Linked DNA regions of Caenorhabditis elegans. The protein of the gene in region 1 purifies or fractionates together with the protein of each later gene. This does not show direct contact. Each region holds a gene or a part of one and is shown on either strand. Other genes may lie near its edges.

What was found.
Region 2: the proteins of lys-10 (region 1) and cku-70 fractionate together in Caenorhabditis elegans (co-fractionation; one large-scale study listed by BioGRID). This does not show direct contact.
Region 3: the proteins of lys-10 (region 1) and C32E8.9 fractionate together in Caenorhabditis elegans (co-fractionation; one large-scale study listed by BioGRID). This does not show direct contact.
Region 4: the proteins of lys-10 (region 1) and mog-2 fractionate together in Caenorhabditis elegans (co-fractionation; one large-scale study listed by BioGRID). This does not show direct contact.

The regions. Positions count from the first base shown.
Region 1 is NC_003282.8:8,330,544-8,334,646, reverse strand, and holds lys-10 (LYSozyme), read right to left. Parts: upstream 1,822-4,103; coding exon 1,129-1,821; downstream 1-1,128. Other genes in the region: his-32 (Histone H3), read right to left, coding at 1-342; his-31 (Histone H4), read left to right, coding at 664-975; his-30 (Histone H2A), read right to left, coding at 2,598-2,981; his-29 (Histone H2B 1), read left to right, coding at 3,235-3,603.
Region 2 is NC_003281.10:11,152,585-11,158,445, reverse strand, and holds the start of cku-70 (Ku domain-containing protein), read right to left. Parts: upstream 3,620-5,861; coding exon 3,398-3,619; intron 3,345-3,397; coding exon 3,242-3,344; intron 1,838-3,241; coding exon of another isoform or gene 1,247-1,837; intron 231-1,246; coding exon 46-230; intron 1-45. Other genes in the region: Y47D3A.31 (BAR domain-containing protein), read left to right, coding at 1,247-1,837; pola-1 (DNA polymerase), read right to left, coding at 4,502-4,650, 5,658-5,857.
Region 3 is NC_003279.8:3,793,257-3,800,138, reverse strand, and holds C32E8.9 (Ethylmalonyl-CoA decarboxylase), read left to right. Parts: upstream 1-2,070; 5' UTR 2,071-2,089; coding exon 2,090-2,104; intron 2,105-2,172; coding exon 2,173-2,343; intron 2,344-3,424; exon of another isoform or gene 3,425-3,454; coding exon of another isoform or gene 3,455-3,600; intron 3,601-3,654; coding exon of another isoform or gene 3,655-3,973; exon of another isoform or gene 3,974-3,980; intron 3,981-4,530; coding exon 4,531-4,620; intron 4,621-4,671; coding exon 4,672-5,025; intron 5,026-5,334; coding exon 5,335-5,511; 3' UTR 5,512-5,583; downstream 5,584-6,882. Other genes in the region: Phosphatidylinositol-binding clathrin assembly protein unc-11, read left to right, coding at 107-258, 786-934; C32E8.1 (RING-type domain-containing protein), read right to left, coding at 3,455-3,600, 3,655-3,973.
Region 4 is NC_003280.10:4,321,691-4,326,922, forward strand, and holds mog-2 (putative U2 small nuclear ribonucleoprotein A'), read left to right. Parts: upstream 1-2,670; 5' UTR 2,671-2,676; coding exon 2,677-2,906; intron 2,907-3,645; coding exon 3,646-4,177; 3' UTR 4,178-4,352; downstream 4,353-5,232. Other genes in the region: Y52E8A.1 (RNA helicase), read left to right, coding at 376-555, 602-748, 795-866; H20J04.6 (Transmembrane protein 222), read left to right, coding at 1,570-1,655, 1,708-1,792, 1,843-1,968, 2,017-2,226; pfd-2 (Prefoldin subunit 2), read left to right, coding at 5,030-5,232. UniProt on the Caenorhabditis elegans protein: This protein is associated with sn-RNP U2. It helps the A' protein to bind stem loop IV of U2 snRNA. Required maternally for early embryonic development and zygotically for germline and somatic development. Has a role in the switch from mitosis to meiosis.

The DNA.
Region 1 (4,103 bases):
GTGAATGGCGCACAAGTTGGTGTCCTCGAAGAGTCCGACGAGGTAAGCCTCGGCAGCCTCTTGAAGAGCCATGACGGCGGAAGACTGGAAACGAAGATCGGTCTTGAAATCCTGAGCGATCTCACGAACGAGGCGCTGGAATGGCGCTCTGCGGATGAGAAGCTCGGTGGACTTCTGGTAACGTCTGATCTCACGAAGAGCGACGGTTCCTGGACGGTAACGATGTGGTTTCTTGACTCCTCCTGAAGCTGGGGCCGACTTGCGGGCAGCCTTGGTGGCCAATTGCTTTCTTGGAGCCTTTCCTCCGGTCGATTTGCGGGCGGTTTGCTTGGTACGAGCCATTGCGTTTGAGATGAAAATCCGAGGGGACTGTGAAAAAACCTTTAGTCTGTCCCCTTTTATACGAAGAAGTGTAATATTGGGGTGAGAAGGCGGAGACCTCATTCATTCCCCTGCAGGGACACATCTCAGTGTTTGCATTCTAACCGAATGACCTATCTACAGAAAATGGAAGAGATAGAGAGTGAGAGAGTGGTACACCATGTGTCCTAACAGGATGGTTCAATGTGATCCCTCCTACATCCACCGCAGCTGGTATAAAAGACAGCCTCATTTCTTCATTTTTTCATCTCATTCGTGAGTCTTCAATTCAATCACTCAACAATGTCCGGACGTGGAAAGGGAGGAAAAGGCCTTGGAAAAGGAGGAGCCAAGCGCCATCGCAAGGTGCTCCGTGATAACATTCAAGGTATCACCAAGCCAGCAATTCGCCGTCTCGCCAGAAGAGGAGGAGTCAAGAGAATTTCTGGATTGATCTACGAGGAAACACGTGGAGTCTTGAAGGTGTTCCTTGAGAACGTCATCCGTGATGCTGTCACCTACTGCGAGCACGCCAAGAGAAAGACGGTAACTGCTATGGACGTCGTCTATGCTCTGAAGCGTCAAGGAAGAACTTTGTACGGATTCGGAGGATAATTCATTTATCTTCTGTTTTTCTGCAAACCCACCGAACCCAACGGCCCTCTTTAGGGCCACAAATGATATGAATTCTTAATTTGTTTTTTTTATTTTAATAAAATGTGAAAATATCAATTCCATGATTTATATACTCGTTAATATATATTAAACTTATGGAACATAATTCAAATCAACACTGACTCCACATGGTCCTTTGGTAGTTCCATGCCACTGATGAATTGTTGGTTTTTTCCATCCGCCGAAAGCTACGAATTTTGAGAAATCCTTGATTCCATCGTATGTTGCCCACCAAAGCATTAAATGAGATTGACCATGGTAATCCAATCCAACTATATCTTGCCAGTTGTAGTAGTTACTGTAGATTCCAACATGTTGTTTTCTAGCCTCGGCTTCTTTAACCATTTCTTCAATGAAAGCACGGTTATGAGCATGATTAGCAGGCCATGCAAGACGTTCAATATCCAACCAAAGGGTGGATACATGAGTACCAGCGCTCTTCAGAGCATCGAGAGTTTCTTTAACTTGGTTTGCAGCAGATGGACAATGAGATGCCAAACAAGGAAAAATGTATCCATCAACGTCAGTTAAACCAGCTGAAATTTTTCTACCGTTAACAAACGTATTCTTAAATGATTTATTTCCTTCTCTAGCGTGTTTAACATTTTGAATTCCAGTATGATCAAGAGTTCCAACAGAAGTAAATACTCTTGGAATTACGAAAGAATATCCATCTTTGTGAATACATTTAAATGTTTCAACTGAAACTGGTTGAATGAAATCAATTCCATTCTTGGCAGCATTTATTGTGGTTACAAGAATAAGAAGAACAATAAGCAACTTCATATCGCTTCAACTTATACTAGTGTGATTTCTCAATTCTTTATATACACATTCTGTACCGGAAACAATGCTGGTGTGACTTTCACATTGCAGAAACTTCAAAAATTCTTATCTTATGGTTTTTGAAAAGCCAATGAAAATATAGAGCAAAATGTGGAAAAGACTAAATTTTTAATTCTAATTTCTTATCATTGGGCACACTTCTTCATAACTCACAGATCAAAAGAGCTACTTTTTCGGACTTCGACCTTTAACAAAACATCTTTGATGCCAGTTTGAAACTATCAATATAAGAACTACAATCTTTACTGTTGCTATTTGGGTATGTCTATTTAACTTTGAATAGGTATTCCCTGTAATCCCCCACCCTTTCCTGTCATGTTTTATATTTTCTATGGGTTAATGAATATGCATATAAGCATGATATATTTTAGAAACATTTATAGCACAGCTTATTAATAATGTATCAAACAATATACTGCAAATATAATAATAAAACTGCGTGGTGTGTATGAACAGATTACAGGAAAATGAAACCTGAAGAGTGACGTCATATTTCGGTCCAGTAAGTTCCGGAGGTGAAATGACGGTAGTAAACTGACAAAAGTGAAAAGAAGATAATTGAATGCATAATCTATATTGTGCATATATGAGTTTTCCGAGCCAGAAAAAATAAATGTTCGAAAAAAAGTTTATTAATAAGATGTTAGAGGATTTATTGTAAATGTGGCCCTAAAGAGGGCCGTTGGGTTCGGTTTGTATTATTTGGAGACAAGTATTTATTCCTTATCTCCTCCAGTCTTCTTTGGAAGAAGAACAGCTTGGATGTTTGGAAGAACTCCTCCTTGAGCAATAGTCACTCCAGCCAAAAGCTTGTTGAGCTCCTCGTCATTTCGGACAGCAAGTTGAAGATGTCTTGGGGCAATACGAGTCTTCTTGTTGTCACGAGCAGCGTTACCTGCCAACTCGAGAACCTCAGCAGCGAGGTATTCAAGAACAGCGGCCAAGTAAACTGGAGCTCCAGCTCCGACACGTTGAGCATAGTTTCCTTTACGGAGAATACGGTGAAGACGACCGACTGGGAATTGAAGTCCAGCTCTTGATGAGCGTGACTTGGCCTTTCCTCCGGTCTTGGCTTTGCCTCCCTTTCCACGTCCAGACATTGCTAGTTGAGTGTTTTTGTTCGTAAACTGGTGAGGTGTATTCAATGACCCCTTTTTATGTATTCTGTGCGGTGATGGTGGGGGAGGGTCTTATCGGGGAGACACCATCTATTGTCTATGTGCATTCGGCAGTACAGGTGCAAGTGAGACATGTGTCCCTGCAGAGAGACTCCGCCTTCCCACCGCATTGTTTGTATATAATAATCTCTATACAACCCCATTTCTTTATACTTGTCACAAGTCCATTCTCATCATGCCACCAAAGCCATCTGCAAAGGGAGCCAAGAAGGCCGCCAAGACCGTCACCAAGCCAAAGGACGGAAAGAAGAGACGTCATGCCCGTAAGGAGTCATACTCTGTCTACATCTACCGTGTCCTCAAGCAGGTTCACCCAGATACTGGAGTCTCCTCAAAGGCTATGTCCATCATGAACTCTTTCGTCAATGACGTCTTCGAGCGTATCGCCGCTGAAGCATCTCGTCTTGCTCACTACAACAAGCGTTCTACCATCTCATCCCGCGAAATTCAAACCGCTGTTCGTTTGATTCTTCCAGGAGAGCTTGCCAAGCACGCCGTGTCTGAGGGAACCAAGGCCGTTACCAAGTACACTTCCAGCAAGTAAGCAATCAAATGCTCAATGCTAATTACACCGAACCCAACGGCCCTCTTTAGGGCCACAATACATCTAAAATCCATCAGTTGTTCCAATAAAATTTTTAGTAATATTTGTGACGTCATGAAAACCGTTAGTTTTAGTTCAATTTTTTTAAATTTCATTTTAAATTTATTATATATGTATCTTAATCATGTATTAGCAGTGCTTGTTGGATGTCGTACTACATATTTTGTAATTCTCCAATTTGTTTTTAGTTGTTATCTACGGGGGCATATTTGTACATACGAATTTGGTTGTGTAAAGGGTTTATGAATACGATGAGTCAATATTATCAAAACAAAGCATGCTACGAATTGTGTCACGGCCTGTAAATTTGGTTCTTAATCTCATACCTATCTAGTACTATTAATTTCAAAACATTTCAAGTTTAAACTTCCTGTTTCAGGAAATTACTATTCTACTTATTTCAATTTTTGTTCTATTCTTGTTTCATGATCTCTTCATTC
Region 2 (5,861 bases), on another chromosome or scaffold:
TTTTATGTGTTTTTTCCACGAAAACCCGCCAAAAAATCCACTAACAAAATGCGAAGATTCCAAAAAATCGTCACGTTCAAATGGATTCCGATTGTTTGTCAAATAAATGACCGATTGATGACGTGTATTCGAACAACTTGCAAACACTCGTTTACAGTAGTTAAGCACATTTGACAAGTCGGATTTGTGATGATCACCGCCGTAATTGTTCACTGCCGAGAGGAGGTTTTCTGGAACAAAAAATTATTTATTTTCTTTTCGGAAAACTTCTGAAAATTGAAATTTCACTTCAAATCGGGACCGCCAACCAATTAGCAATGTTGGTCACGCCCACCTCGGATCGCTTATTGGTCGGAAAGCCTTCACTGAGAATCGCATATGTCTAGTGACTTTGCAAATATATCAAATTTCCGGTAAAACCAAAATAACGTCGGTTGCATAAACTTGCCGAAAATTTCGAAATCTACTGCAGGCGTGGGCGGCAAACGATTTCTTTCCGGCAATTCGGCAACTTGCCGGAATTAAAAACTTCCGGCAAACCGGCAAATGGGCGGAATTAAAAATTCCGATAAATCGGCAAATTTCCGGAATTGAAAACTGCCGGCAAACCGGCAAATTGCCGGAATTGAACATTTCCGGCAAATTGCCGGAGTAGAAAATTTCCGGCAAATCGGCAAATTGCCGGAACTGAAAGTTTCGGCAAACCGGCAAATTGCCGAAATGGAATCTACAGCCAAATCGGAAAATTGTCGGAATTGAAAACTTCCGGCAAATCGGCAAATTGGCGGAATTGAAAATTTTTGGCAAACCAGCGAATTGCCGGAATAGAAAATTTCCGGCAAATCGGAAAATTTACGGAAAACCAGCAAATTGCCAGAATTAAAAACTTCCGGCAAACCGGCAAATGGGCGGAATTGAACATTTCCGGCAAATTGCCGGAGTAGAAAATTTCCGGCAAATCGGCAAATTGGCGGAAATGAAAATTTCCGGCATATCGACAAAACCGGCAAATTGCCGGAATTGCAAATTTCCGATAAACCGGCAAATCGCCGGAATTGAAACTTTTCTAACTTTTTCAAACTTGAACAAAACTCAAATATCAAATTTTTTTCCGTGAAAATCCCAAAATTCCACGTTGGAAATTTCAAAATTCCAACAGCAAAAAAAAAAAACGCCGCGGACAAAATTCAAAATTCAATTTATTCCTAAATTTCGACTCGGTGGTGTGTGCGTGAGTTGTTCAACAATGTTCAGTCGACTAAAGCAAAAAGTGAAAGAAAAGACGGGCAGAAGCAAGGCGACAGTGCTTCCCGCCGAAATCGACGAGGCGTTGATCTACTTCAAATCTCTGAAGCCCCGCGTCCAGGATCTCTACAAGCACATGGCAAATCTGAACGACGTGGCAAATTGGCAAGTGAAAGCCAACTTTTCAGGCCCACTGGAGAACTATGCTCTGCTCGGAGATCGTATCAACGTGCAACCGTTCATCAATTGTGTCGACACGCGGATGGAGGCAGAAGTCGAGTCGATGGATAAGGTGCTGGCGATTTGTGAGCGGTACAAGGCGTTCACACAGAACGAGAGTAAGCTTCACACAAATACAATTGCCAATTTGAATAAGACACGTCTCGATATGGATAGTGCTGCGAACAAGTACGCCAGCAACGACACTGACGTCAATCGGACTCGGTTTGATGATGCCACTCGTGAGTTTGAGGTGGCTTGTGATCGGATGCGTGAGTTGGCGATAAGTATTCAGACAATTGAGGAGACTCATTCCATGTGGCAAGATGAATTGATGCGGGAGATAAAGGCCGGAATGAGGAAACCGAATTGAGGTGGTGGTGGTGGTGGTGATGGATGAGAAATTGAAAATTGAAGAGATCTCACAAAAAAACCTTTTTTTTTTTTGAAAATAAATTAGGTTATTATGAAATATTGTTTTGCCAATTTTCTAGGCGGCGTGGCCTACACGATTTCAGGCCGCTCTTTATGAAAAGCTAAGTTCTGGCGTCGAAAATTGCCAATTTCTTGAAAAAAAAATACCGGAAATTGTTTTGTCGAAAGCAGTGGTGGACGGCAATTGCCGTTTGGCAAATTCGGCAAATTGTCGGAAATGCCGGTTTGCCGGAAACTTTAATTTCCGACAATGTGCCGGTTTGCCGAATTGTTGCCGGAAATTTTTTATTCCGGCAAGTTGCAGATTTACCGGAAACTAAATTCCGACAATTTGCCGATTTACCGAATTACCGTATATTTTCATTTATGGGAACTTGCCGGTTTGCCGTTTTGACGAGAACTTTCATTTCTGGCAATTTGCCGGTTTGCCGAATTGACGGAAATTTTCATTTCTGGCAACTTGCCGGTTTGCAGTTTTGCCGTAAATTTTCAATTCTGGCAATTTGCCGGTTTGCCGTGACGGAAATTTTCGTTTCCGGCAACTTGCCGGTTTGCCGAATTGCCGCAAATTTTAATTTCTAGCAACTTGCCGATTTGCCGGAAAATTTCATTTTCAGCAATTTGCCGGAAATTTTGATTTCTAGCAAGTTGCCGGTTTGCCGAATTGACGGATATTTTCATTTCTGGCAACTTGCCGGATTGCCGAGTTGACGGAAACTTTAATTTCCGACAATTTTCCGGTTTGCCGGAAATTTTCAATTCCGGCATTTTGCCGATTTGCCGGAAACTTTAATTTCCAACAATTTGCCGGTTTGCCGAATTGCCGGAAAATTTAATTTCCAGCAAGTTGCCGAATTGCCAAAAATGAAAGTTTCCGGCAACTTGCCGGTTTGCCGGAAACTTTCAATTCCGGCAATTTGGCAATTTGCCGTAAATTTTCAATCAATTCTGGCAATTTGCCAGAAACTTTTAATTCTGGCAATTTGCCAGAAATTGTCATGTCCGGCAATTTGGCAATTTGCCAGAAATTTTCAATTCCGACAATTTGTCTATTTGCCGGAAAAAAATCGTTCGAATTTTCAAAAAAGTGGTGATCTACCGAAATTCTGCCAAAAGTCAAAAGAACAATCAATTTTTTGCCAAAAAATTGCCAGATTGCGTATAATATTCTGAAATTGTAGATTTTACTCGAAATTTAACTGGAAATTGCCAATTTGTCGAGATTTTGAAAAATTAGAAGTTTGCCTAATTCACTGCGAAAATTGTGCCAAGTCGCCAAAAGACGACGAATGCCGAGAAAAAAAACCACGAAAATGTCAGAAATTGTCCGCGATTTCCGCACCTTCCTCCGCAATTTCCTTAATCTTATTCACTTCTTCCTGTCCAAGAACACCCATCGGCACAAGCAGAGTGCTATTTTCGAGTCCCTCGGTCTCCGAGTTTTTCTGTAATTAAAAAATTATTAAATTTTCAGAAATTCTTCAGAAAAAACTCGTACAGTACTAGTGACAATCACTCCGATATGATTGTTAAGGCTCCGCGAGCAGCAAACACGGACTATTTCGTCGAGAATGAGCTTCAGAGCAAGCTTGAACTCTGGCGGCTCACCGGCTTTCGACGTTTCGAACATTGCCGGATTTCCGTCAATTATGAAGAATGTGTACTTTTTATTGGCCGTTGAACCCTCGAAATCGTCATCCTCGAAGCGGGTTTCGTCCATCTGGAAAAAAATTGATTTTTTTCAAACTTTTCTCGAAAAAAAATTCAAATTTTGACTGAAAAAATCGAAAAATTAATTTTTTTTGAATTTAAAAATATTTATTAAAATATTTTTGTTCTCAAAAACTTTGAAATTTGACATTTTTCAAGTTTTGAAAATTTCGAAAGTTTTTTTTTTCAAATTTTTCGAGAAAAAAATATCATATTTTGTCGATTTACGGAGCTCGTGACTGAAAAATTAAAAAAAAAAAACTTCTCCTCGAGGAGTACACCAGCTGCGTAAATAGACACACGGTTTTTATGCATGTGTCGATTTACGACGGATTTTGAACTACACGTGGACAAGTTTGAGTTCAATTTTTTTGCAAAATCTCGACTTTTTTTTTGGCTAAAATTTCAGTTTCCGAAACATTATCCCTCGTAAATCGACAACCCCTGTGTCGATTTACGCAGCAGCCTTCGTGTACTCCTCGAGGAGAAGTGTTATTTTTTGCTCAAAAATTTTAATTTTACAATAAAATAAATTACTTTGCATAGAAAATTTGAAAATAGCGAAAATGTTCAAATTCTCCCCGTAAGTCGACACAAATACTATAATAAATTGAAATAATTTTTTCAGAGATGGAAAAACTCCAAAAATTCAGTGAAAAAAGGGAGAATTAACACAGGATTCGATTGTTTATCAGATATGATTTGAGTATTTTCGGGAATATTTTTTTGGGGAAAAATAAAGAATTTTTCACTGAAAATTAGGAGAAAATGGAAAAATGGAGGAGGAGGAAATGACTTGTGAAAAAAATTAGGAAATTAGAAATTTCGACATAAAAAAGACGGGAAAATCGCAAAACTGGGGGGAAATTTTCAAAAAAAAAAGAAAATAAATTCATTGAATTTTCATCATTGGCGCAAAAATATATGAAAGATCCACTCGATTATAGGCATTTTTCTCCAAATATTTCTCATTGATTCGATCAGCCAACATCATTGAATCGATTTTGCACCCATTATATTCGACACGGACTTTGGCGGCTTCTGGAAAAAAAAAACTTTTTTGAAGAAAAAATTGTACAAAATTTCCTGGAAATCGAACTTTTAATGCTAATTTTTAGTGAAAAATTGTAATTTTCAACGAAAAAAAAAACTCAGAAATCGGAGAAAAAATTTACTGAAAAAAAATTACGGATTTAAAATTATTTGAGCCAAGCTTTTCAAAGAATACGGTACCGGGTCTCGATACGACAAATTGTTGTTGAATGCGAAAAAGTGTGCGCCTTTAAAGAGTACTGTAGTTTCAAACGGATTTTTTTAATCGATTTTGCGCATAGAATTTCACACGATTTGTTAAAACTTAAGCGGTTTATTTCAGTTTTTTTGTTTAACGAAAAACTGAAAAAAATGGATGAAAATTTCTCAAATTTCATCCAATTTTTTTCAGTTTTTCGTTAAAAAATATGCTTTTTATTAGAAAAACTGAAATAAACCGCTTAAATTTTAACAAATCGTGTGAAAATCTATGCGCAAAATCGATAAAAAATTCCGTTTGAAACTACAGTACTCTTTAAAGGCGCACACCTTTTCGCATTCAACAACAATTTGTCGTGTCGAGACCCGGGCGCAAAAATCGTGAAATTTCGGGATTGAGTAATAAAATTATAAAAGCCGAATAATTTTATCTCCGTAATTTTTTTTTTGAAAAAAAAAAATGCTGAATAGCTGCTGAAATAGAAAATAAAATTTTTTAAGTAAACTTTTTCTCCGAACTCTGCGTTTTTTTTTTTGAAATTACAATTATTCACCAAAAGTTTACATTAAAAGTCCGATTTCCAAAAAAAAAATTGAAAGAAAATCACATTTTTTAAATCGAATTTTGAATGATTTTAACGCAAAAATAGTTAAAAATGTTCTCCTAATTCGGTTTGTTTCCATTATTTTCGAGATTTTCCGCTAATTCTCACGATTCTTGGCTGAATTTCGCCGAAATTTCCCATTTTCTAGGGATTTTTCCCATTTTTTTCCAATAAAATTTCGCAAACACGAACTTTTCTGGGCGTCGCTCAACTTTCGTACAGCCGCGTCGACATCGAGAATTGTTCGAAAGAACATTTGCTGATCGAAAAGCTGTTTTGAAGTGTATTCACGACGGAGCACACCAGTTGAGCATCGAATACATTCGAGTCCTTCTCGACACCATTTCATCGTTTGTACGCGAGTTTTGAATTCACACGTTGGCTCATCGCATCTGC
Region 3 (6,882 bases), on another chromosome or scaffold:
ACTCACGACACGAACGAACCACTAGGGCTAGATTATACATATTACCTTTTACAAAATTTCACAATTTCTAAAGAAAATCGAAAAATCTTGCCTAAAAATATCTTAGTTACAGAGCACCGGCCGGCTGGAATACCACAACTTCTGCCGTCTCAAACAATCCGTTTGGAGCAACGTCGGCTCCTCAGCCAATGTATACGGCTCCAATGGGAATGTATCAACAACCATTTGGTGCTCAGCCAATGTGGAATCCTGCGATGGGTTAGTTTATCGAAAAAACGAGGAATTTTTTTAAAATTAGAATCTCGGAACAATTGAATTTTTATCTAATTTTTCACAATATTTCAAGATTATTTTAAATGTGAAAATCGATTTTGAAGCATTTTTTGTTAATTTTTGCTTCATTTTCGAAATATGCTCATACACCTATTTTATACTAAAATATAAAATTTAAACCTCTGGAAAAAATTCAGTTTTATTTAAAATCGAAAAATCGGTGGAACATTTCATATTCCAGCAATTTTTGGATAAGCGGAAAAATAATTTTGGACAAAAAATAGCAAAACATTTTTGGGTTGGATTTCGGGCCAAAAAACCAACAAAAAAAATTTATACTTAAATTTATTAAAAAACCGCGAGAAAGTGAGCAGTTTTTGGTTTATTTTTTGGTCTAAATAATACCAAACAAAAACAAAAAAGCCCCACGCCTAGAATAGGAATTCAACCATTTTGTGGGCGTGTCTGGCACTATATTTCGGTAGATTTTCAAAATCTTATTTTTTTTGCAGCAGCATACGGTCAACAATATGGATACGGACAACCTGTTCCACCACAACAGCAACACCAAATTCAATTGGTTCATGCAGCGATGGCTGCAAAGAACGCTGCACAAGCTCAACAGGCCCAGGCCGCCTCAGCCGATCCATTTGGATTATAGTCTAGTCGTCTATTTCTCTCTATCTCTCTCGTAACATTCCCTGATTTATTTTTTTTTAATGTAAAAACAAAATGATAGCCTATTTCTATTTCTTGATATCCCCCAAGATTCTCCAATTTTAGAATTTCCAGTAGATTGTGCAAAACTAATCAAATAGCGAAATCCAGGTGCCACTCCAATTTGAAATCACTTAGTATTCCTTTTTAACCTTTTTTTTTCAAAATTTTTGAATAGTCAAAGTATATTGCAATCAAATGTGTCGTTTTTTTGCATTGAAAAATTCGGAAAAATCGATTTTTTTTCTCGATTTTTCAATTACCCCAAAATACCGAAAAATCAGAATTTTTCGACGTCACCCTTGATTAGAATATATATTCCAGTAAATTGCCTTTTTCTTCGGTCGAATTGTCATAATTTTTCATGCTCTCTAGATACAATGTACCCCCCAAAATTCTTCAGATTCGGCCAAATTTTCGTCAGATCAGTGATGTTTTCCCCCTATCTCTATCTCTGCGTCTTCCAGTCTCTAGCGGCATTTTTTGTTTCATTCTTTCCACCCAAAAATTTATTTTGCAAAACGCACGCTTCTGTGTCCTATTTAATTATTTGAATTTTATATATTTATTTATTGACTCCCCCTCCCCCCCCCGGCTCTCCCATTTTAAGCGCTCGTGTTTCATAGCAATAAATTAAATTATTTTCCATCCTTCCTTTTTTTAGATTTTGAAATTTTGCAACTTTATCTCTATTGCCAAGAAGCGATGATAGATTGATTTTTCAATTGATGCAATAAATATTCGTAGATTCCTCGATTCACGTCATACTTTTTTGTTGTAAAATCTACCGCCAGACACGCCCACAAAATGGTTCATAGCCCCGCCTATTTTAGGGGCGGGGTCTTTGTTGTACGGTTTTTTGTACAAAAATTGTAGGAAAATGAAATTTTGCACCGGTTTTTTGGATTCTAAAACTGTCAAGAAAACTATTGAATTTCTTGTTTTTCCGCCAATACCTAATGAGACCCTGCGTTTGGTGGCGGGGCTTCGACTTGTGACTCAAAAATAGGGAAAATATATTCTTATTCTTCTCACTAACCGCTTATAACCTAAAAATAAAAAGATTTTTCTAATTTTTCAGGGCAACTGAGCGACAAAAATGTCTGGAAAAGTGGTATGTTCTTCGAAATTTGAATATTGCGTGATTCACGACTATGTGCCTTTAGAATTGAATTTTTTCAGGTTAGACCATCCGCAGCACTGCTGGAAGTCTTTAAATCATGGCAAGGCGGTGCGATTCGAGTTCAGCGAAACGAGAAGCTGAAAACAAGACTTGACGTAATTCTGGACCGCCCGGAAAAGAATAATTGTTTGTCTGGAGAAATGATGAAGCAGTTTGGAGAGCACACTGAGGCAAGTTTTTGAATTTGCGCGTGAAATTTGATGCATTAGAGGTAGAGACCGAGCAAAACAGTGTGCGCCTTTAAGAAGTGCAGCAACCGATTTCTCCAGCACTTTTTAATACTAAATGCTTGAGTATATTACTGGAACACAAAATTCCGAGAATGCGTATTGTACAACATATTTGACGCGCAAAATATCTCATAACGAAAACTACAGTAATTCTTCAAATGCACGTGGTGTCAGGCTGTCTCATAACTGTTTGATCTACAAGAAAAGTGGGAATTTTTTACCCCAAAAAATGTGACGTCAGCACGTTCTTAACCACTAGTTGAGAAGTCTGCATCTAAATTCTCGAAATTTTCGAGATCTACGTAGATCAAACCGAAATGGGACACTCTCACACCACGTGTAAATGACATGACTACTGTAGGGCTTGTGTCGATTTACGAGCTCTTTTTACAAAATGAATTTAAATTATTTATTTATCGATTGAATAATAAATTTGAGAAAAAACTAGCAAATATTACGAGGAAACAGATGAGAATGGAATATCGATGTCTTAAAGAAATTCATTTCGAAAATCAAGTCCGTAAATCGACACAATGGCAGCAGTAGTCATTTAAAGAATTACTGTAGTTTTCGCTAAGAGATATGTTGCGCAATGCGCATTCTCAGAATTTTGTGTTCCCGTAATAGAAAAAATTTGAAACAATATGGTAAATTATTATCACGGAATTCTGGCTTCCCTCATAAATCGAAATGGCAGAGTTTGCCGAACTAGGCCATTTTGGGTCGAAGAGATTTTATGTAGATTTACGGCGCGTTGCGTGTCGCGTCGCGGCTCGTTTTTAGTTGTAAAATTGATGTATTTGCCCGTGTGGAGTACACGGCACTTTTCCACACGTTGTCCGGCAGGCGATTGTCAATGGAGCGCGAAAATTCAATGATAAAGGCCAGAACCCCGTGATTACTGTACTAATTTAATTGTCACGCATGTTTTTACGCAGGCTGAACTTGAAATTATTGTGATACCGGTTACTGTAGTTTTGCGCGAAGACCTTAAGAATCTCAGAATCAGAATCAATCTACACAGTATTTTTCAAATCATTTATTCGAATTTCTACTGATTTATGAGAGAAAAATTCTTGGGCAGATTCTCGATCGTCTTGTTATTGAACTTGTACACTTTTCTATCGAATGGACAACGGATCATCTTGTTTTGGATAATATTTCCAGCGCATTCGGTGCAAATTGTGTGGCCACACGCTGAATATGATAAGAATAATATCATTATTTTATGAGTTGCATTGGCAGACTTACGCAGAACACGAGGCACGGTCATTCCAGAATCCCCATATTGTACTGCACAAATCTCACATTCAATCGGAAGAGTTTTGAGATCGGAAATCGCCTTTTTCAGGAAGTCCGTCACACGTTTTTCCTTCTCAAGAGCCTCCTTCGTTTCCACAAAACAATCCACCATATCATCCAGCTGCACCTTCAACTTTTCGTTCTCCGATTGCAGACGCTTCACTTTCTTCATCAACTGTTGCTCTTCCCAAGGAACTTTTTTCACTGGCACCGCATCGTGTCCTACTTGCTCTGCAATCCTCTTGCTTCTGCAATCCTCTTGCTTCATTTTTTTGAAAAATCTGATTCCGTTTTAACATCACGTATTTACACGGCTTTACACGGCCTCTCTCAATTTCATTTATTTAAAAATTCCTTTTTTTTTAATTTTACACGCTCTCACGGGAAGATCAAAAATTATTAAATTTAAATTACACAATTATATTGGAATATTCGAAGGTACAACTATTACTGGAACAAAAACTTTCGAGAATGCGTATTGCGCGACATATTTGACGCCTACTGTATTTAGCGCATGTGTAGATTTACGGGCTTGATTTTCGAAACGAATCGAAATAATTTATTTATTGAAAGAATATATTGGAACGAAGGAAAATGGAATATCGCTGTCGCTACTCGGAAAAAAATTCATTTCGAAAATCAGCCCCGTAAATCGACACAAGCGCTATTTACAGTAGGCAAATAAATTTTCGCTAAATTTTATAAATTTTCACAATATAGTGGGTTACTGTACTTTAAAACACACATGTTTTTGCGCAGTCGTATTTGAAATTATTTTTTTCGTTGCGAGACCGTAGTAAAAATGCCTGAAATATCACTTTTCAGCTATTTTCCGATGATCAAAACGCAATTATCGTTGTTTCGGGAGTTGGAAAATCGTTCTGCTCGGGTGCTGATTTGGGTCTTATCAAAGATGTAATGAAATTCCAATTTTTAAATTCCAACTTTCAAATGTTTAAATTTCAGATTTCGGACCAAAAGCTTGGCGTCCAAATGTTCGAGTACATGTCATCAATTCTTTCACTTCTCCACTCATCACCAGCTATTTCAATTGCGAAAATCCATGGCCACGCACTCGGCGGAGCCACCGAAATTTGCTCGTCGACCGACATTCGAATTGCTCATTCTGGCTCGAAAATCGCATTTTTTCAATCGAAAATGGGAATTGTTCCGTCGTGGGGAGGTGCCGAATATATGGAGGGAATTATGGGTAGAGGACGAGCATTAGCTGCAATGGGACGGGCAAATGTTATGTCAGCTGAGGAAGCAAAGGATCAAGGATATGTGGATTATGTGTACAAAAGTGAAGATGAAGCTGAGGTACGGAACTGTGACGTCATTTGTCGCCTAGAAATCCCATAAAATCGAGGTGCATTCGCGCTCCACTGGCAAATGAAAAGGCTCCGCCTCTAAACGTTGGGTCTCGTTAGGTATTCGAACATTTTCAATTATTCTCGTCTTTTCTTAAAATTAATTTCCGTTTCTTCCATTATTATGAAAAACATGTTTAAAACGGAAAAAGTATGCAAGAAAAAAGTCAATACCTAACGAGACCCAACGTTTGGGGGCGGAGCATTTTTACCTCGCCGTGGAGCGCCATTGCTATAATACATTGAAATATGTTTTCAGAACTTCATCAACCAAGTGGCTAGCGCTGGTTTGAAAGTGACAAGAGCCCAGAAAGCTATGCTGAACGCTGTAAAAATAGGAAAAACGGAGCAAAAACAAGTGCTGGAAGCCGTCTGGAACGGGGAAACTCATCGAAATGCACTTCAGAAACAACTCGAAGCGGTCGTCAAGAAATAATTTTGCTTTTTTTTGAAAGAATTTTGTATTGTATTTTAAACTATTTTTAGAGAAATGAACAATTCTGAATCCAAATATTTATTTCTCCAATACTATTAAACTTGAAAAAAAGTCTAGATGAAAATTAACAAATCTGTGAACTTTGGCATTTGTAGCGATCTCTATGACTGAGATCGTGACGAGACCCACTCAAAAAATCCCATGTGCTTTTGAAATTGCCAATTTTTAGCAAAATTACGATATTTCGGGAGCACAAAAATCTGAGAATGTGTATTGCGTAAAATATCTCGTAGCGAAAACTACAGTAAGTCTTTGAATGACTACTGTAGGGCTTGTGTCGATTTACGGGCTCGATTTTCGATATTAAATAATTTATTTTCCCTAGATTTTCTCAAATTTTTTTTCTCAAATTTGTTATTCAGTCGATAAATATAGAGCTCGTGAATCGACACAAGCGCTACAGTAATCATTCAAAGAATTACTGTAGTTTTCGCTACGAGATATTTTGCACGTCAAATATGTTGTGCAGTACGCATTTTCAGAATTTTTTGTTCCCATAATATCTATATTTTTCTCAATAACGTTGTTCAAATATCCTACTCAATGTAAATGTTTTTCATTCAATTTGATTCCATTCTCGACTTAACGACTCTTAACCCATTTCTTTTCGTCTTCAGAACCCTATTTACAAATTTGATTGCTTTAGGAGATATTTTTGTAAAACAGATATAGAAAAAAGTGACGTAAGAATTTGTTTAATGTTTTTTCGCGGCGCAATCTAGAATCTTCATCCAAGCTTCATCGAAAGTTTCCCAAAGTTCAAAACTTTAAAGAAAAATAAGTGGACTGCAGGCTTCTTCAATTTAGACAATTAAATATTTTCCCTTCAAGACGAATTACTTTCTCGAAATTTTCTACCAATAATCCATGCCAGACAGGCGCGAAAAATGGACCGGTATCGCTGCTGTTGCATTTAGAGGCGAACATCATCATGCCGAAAGTCGAATTTATCCCTCTCTTTTCTCTGTCTCCCTTTCTTATTCCCCTCACAGCTTTCACCCTCATCTGATGACACAACCGCAGAAGAAAGACCGGTATCCGCCTCTCCGATGACGCACGCGGACAGCGGAGATCGTCTTCTGACTGCAGCAAATCGACTGCTTGATTTCTTATATTTATTTCGTCTTGATCTATTATTTTGATCTACTCCTGTTGGTTTTGTCTTGTCTTCGGCGGTCAAATTTGGGTTTCGTGAGCGAACCACAAGATGTTTTAAAGTTTCCTCGTATTTCTTTTCTGTGATTTTCAATTTTTTTTTTCGAAATTTCAGAGCGTGTTCACATTTAAAGCAGTTGTAAAATGAAAACAAAA
Region 4 (5,232 bases), on another chromosome or scaffold:
TCAATCGCCTTAAAAAACACAGAAATTCGAACTTTTCTTATTTTTTTTCGGACAAAAAATTGAGAAAAAACGAAAAATTAATTTTTACAAAAAAATTAAAAATAAAAAAAACTCGAACATTCTATGAATTTACAGCCAAAATCATGCCAGACGCAATTCTACCGGACAATGATGATGATTTGGAGATGAATGAAGAACAGGAAGAGCCTCCTAGCTCAGGAAACGTGAAAAATGAAGATTTTGAGGAAATTGAAGAAGCTGTCAAGGGCGAGGAAAAACTAAGTTTCAGATAAAGAAAAATCCGATGGAGAAGAAGGCGATGAATTCAAGTCATCAGATGACACCCCAAAGCCCATTCAAATCTCCGAAGACAACATGACAACTAAGAAATTCTCCCAGCTCGGCGTGTGCTCCTGGATCAACCAACAGCTCGAAACTATGCAAATTAAAACTGCGACGCCGGTTCAGGCGGCTTGTATTCCAAAAATTCTCGAAGGAAGCGAGGAACCGGAGCCGGTCCCGGAGCATGAAATTCTTACTGTTGTAATTAACAAGGTATACATCCCGAACACATCCAGTATACTTATACAGATTTTTTCAGACATCCAGTCAACATTTTGGATGCCATATTACAATCTCAAATGGCATCGCCAAGGTTCTTTCGGTTATTCCAGGATCGCCGGTAGATGAAGCTCTTTATGCTGGTGACATAAACTTATCGATCGATGGAATAAATATTTATAATTATGTAAGAATTAGATTTTTTAAATGTAATTTTTTGTATTTTTTTGCAGGGAGGTTTAAGAGATTTCAAGAATCGAGGAAACATCACTTTGAAGGTCCAACGCACAATTGAAAAACAATAACTTTCCTGATTTCTTTTCGTTTATGACTTCCAATTGATTGATGAAGATTATTTTTATTTCATTATTGATTCAAATTCATTTTTCAATGTAAAAAGATGGAAAAAACAGATATTCAGAAGTGAACTTGAAAAAGAGACTTTTTGCTCCCGCCTGGATGAAAAACCTTCGGGATCTTCAACATTTACCTATCTCAACTTTGGTGTTTCCTTTTCAGTTTCATTGTTATTCAGTTTGTCTTGGCTTGTACTTTGCACATATTGTCCATTCATACCGCAATTTGATAGCATCTCTTTCGATCTTTGCCTGATAAAGACTTATGCGCCTTTAGGAATGGGTAGTACGGTAGGGTTTAATTTCCGCTTTGGCTTTTTTGTTCATAAAAATTCCAATTAAATTAGAATTTTCCTATTTTTAGTTGCCGAATAAATATTAAATTTTCTTATTATTCCAAGTTTTTTGCGCGTACAATACTGCGCATTGTGTGCAGTTTCGCCGCGCGGTGTTTGCGGACATTTGAATTTTCGATTTATTTTTTTCCAGAATTTTGCGTTTTTCGATTGTTTTCCTTCAATTTTGAGGCGATTTTTTGATTTTTCGGCTTAAAATTATCACGAAATTTTGTTTCATACATTTTAAACGTTTTAATCACCTGATCTGCTCGTTTTTTTCCAATTCACCAGTGTCTATCTCCATTTCTAGGTCAATGATGCCGCTCACCGACCGTGACATCTGCCCAGAAAACAATCGGTATCCATACTGCATTGTTTGGACTCCGATTCCATGCCTGACGTAGGAAATATCTAATTTTATCCCAATAATCCAGCTAAAAATGCTGTTTCAGTTGGTTTTTCCCATTCATCGGCCACATGGGAATCGCGAATAGCCGTGGAATCATTCGAGACTTTGCTGGGAGCTATTATGTGGCGGTTTGTGCCCAAATTCAATTTATTACTTCCAAAAAGTAGAATATTTTTAGGAAGACGACATGGGATTCGGCTGGCCCACAAGATACTGGCAATTAGGCCCGGAAAAGGTGGAAGGTGGCGCGGAAGTCTTCGATAGAGCAGTTCAAGATGCTTCCGACACGTATAAAACTAGAACTGTACGGTTTTTAATCGATTTTTCCGATCAATATTTCATTTATTTCCAGCACAATCTCATCTGCGATAATTGTCACTCGCACGTGGCTCTGGCTCTCAACAAAATGCGCTACGATGAGCGCGAGGACTGGAATATGATCAATTTGGCGTGGTATTCACTGACAAAAGGAAGCTTCGTTCGTAACACGGATATGCTCGCTCAATACCTTCCATTCGTTATAATTGTCTTCATTTTCGTTGCGCTGTGGGCTTTTTTATAATTTTTGACCATGGGAATTCTACAAAATGACCTATTTCATTATGTTTTCCAGCATATTTTCATTGAAAATTAGATTTATCTAGAAACAGCATTTATTTCAGCCGAAACAGTTGAGAAAATGAACAAAAATGGACGTTTCAGCTGGAATAAATGGTAATTTCAGAGAAATCGAGGGATTTTCTATATTTTTACACTGATTTTTCGTGAATAATGCTGAAAAACATGGTTAAATAGACTATTTTGTGGAATAATTTGATCTCATGTAAAATATAGTCCAACTGTTAAATATTTCGTGTGATATATTATGTAAAATGTATTTTTTTTCTGTAATTTTCATATATATTTTTTTCAAGTTTTCTTGATGTTTAACCGGTTTGCAGCCGACTTTTTGTCTATCTTCTATGTTTTTTTGTTATTTTTTACATTGAAAACCCCCTAATTCCAGCGAAAAATGGTCCGTCTCACGACTGAGCTGTTCGCCGAGCGTCCACAATTCGTCAATTCGGTCAATATGCGGGAGATCAACTTGCGCGGCCAAAAAATCCCCGTAATCGAGAATATGGGAGTGACGAGGGATCAATTCGATGTCATCGATCTGACTGACAACGATATCAGGAAATTGGACAATTTTCCGACGTTTTCTCGTTTGAATACGCTGTATCTTCATAATAATCGAATCAAGTGCGTAGTTTTCCGAAAAACGAGCGAAAAGTGGCTAAATTTAGCTAAAAATATAGAATTTTGCACCATATTTTGCTGGAAAAGCCCAAATTTTAGCTAAAAATTCCAATTTTGCCAATTTATCCGTGTTTTAGTGCTTTTCCAGTCGATTTGTACCCAACTTTGGTTATTTTCGACTGAAAAGTACCGAAAAATGGGGTTTCCTGGCAGAATTCGGTGATTTCAGCTTGAAATAGGGTTTTAAAAAATTTTAAACCGGAAAATTCTGACAAACTTCCCTAAATTGAATTTAAAAAATTGAAAAAAAAACGTTTCTTTGCTCTGAAATTTCATGAAATTTCCAAATTTTTTTTTCGGCAAGTTGGCGAAAAATTCAGATTTAGCCGGATTTCGCTATTTTTTCCAAAAAAAAAAAACGAAAAAATCAGTTTTTTATGAAAGAACATAGGAAAAATATAATTTTTTTCCTGAAAAAGTTCGAAAAATTTTAAGCCATTTTTCGAAAAATCGAAGTTTTTTTCGGAAAGTAGGGGAAAAAATCGATTTTTCAGAAAATATCCTAAAATTTTGGTCATTTTCAAATTTTTAAAATACTTTCTCTAATTTATTCTTCAAAAATTTAAATTTTATGGTTACTATTTCCTGAAAAAAAATTAAAAACCCTCCATTTTTCATTGCAAAACTGCTTTTTTCCCACATTTTCGAGCTCCATTCCCACCAATTTACCCCATATTTTCAGCTATATCGCACCCGACATTGCCACAAAACTTCCAAATCTCAAAACTCTTGCACTGACCAACAACAACATTTGCGAGCTCGGAGACATTGAGCCACTGGCAGAATGCAAGAAGCTCGAGTACGTGACATTTATCGGAAATCCGATAACTCACAAGGACAATTATCGGATGTATATGATCTACAAGCTGCCGACGGTTCGAGTGATTGACTTCAATCGAGTCAGACTGACAGAACGTGAAGCTGCGAAGAAGATGTTCAAAGGAAAAAGTGGAAAGAAGGCGAGAGATGCGATTCAGAAGAGTGTTCATACAGAAGATCCATCAGAAATTGAACCAAATGAGAATAGTTCGGGTGGAGGTGCTCGGCTTACTGATGAAGATCGGGAGAAGATCAAGGAAGCGATCAAGAATGCCAAGTCACTCAGTGAAGTCAACTATCTTCAGTCGATTCTGGCATCGGGAAAGGTTCCGGAAAAGGGATGGAATCGTCAGATGGATCAGAATGGTGCCGATGGGGAAGCGATGGAGTCTTGAAAAATCTTGAAAATTGCAGAATGTGCTGCTAAAATTTATTTATTTATTTTATTTGATTTTTTTAATGTTAAAATGATACTCCTTGTTTTATTTATATTCTCATTTTTTTCCAATTTTTTCCCAGTCTGTCTTCCCTTTTTTTGTAATTTTTATATACCATAAAACAATATTTCCCCTATTATTTTTGATATTTTTATCGATTTTTCAAAGGTTCCCCGTGCCTTTTTATATTTGATTTTTTGAAATTTTTGCAACAAAAAGTTAGAAAAAAATCCTTTTTCAGCCATTTTTGTGTTTTCCGGCTATTTTTTATTATTTTATTAATTTTGAGAGGTTCCCACTGGGAACTTCCCAGCGCCTTCAAATATCTATTTGGAAAAAAAAGGTTTAAAAATTGGAAAAAACGCGGATTTTTTTTTGAATTCTCGCCTAAAATAATCCATTTTTTGTGTTTTTTTGTCATTTTTCCGCAAAAAAAAAACTTCAAAACCCTTAAAAAAATGCGTTAAAACTCTAAAATTACCCTAAAAATCGATAATTTTAGACTTTTTTTTTCACAAAAACTATCGATTTTTGGCTAATTTTAGAGTTTTCAACTTTTTTTGCTGAAAAATGACTGAAAATGTGACAATGAAAAACCGATAAAAAAAGCCGGAAAATACAAAAATGTAGAAAATCGGTGAGAAATTCAAAAATAAATCGGCTTTCACTAGTTTTTTTGCAAAATATTTTGAAAAATCTTTTTTTTTCAATTATAAAAATTTTTTTTGGTCAGTTTTGGCAAAAAAAACCAAAAAAAAACTGGCTCTCTACCATTAAAACAATTATTTTCAAAAAATCCACAACTTCCAGATGTCGGCCGCTCAAACCGCCGCCGCCACTCCAGCCGAGCAAGAAGAGCAACGAAAAGTCGTCGAAAAGTTCAAGGCTCTACGTGATCAACAACAGGATATCGCCGCCGAAGTGACTCGAATCGAAGAGGAACGACGTGAATTTGGACGTGTTCTCGAAGTGATCAAGGATCTTGAACCGGATCAGAAATGCTTCCGTTTGAT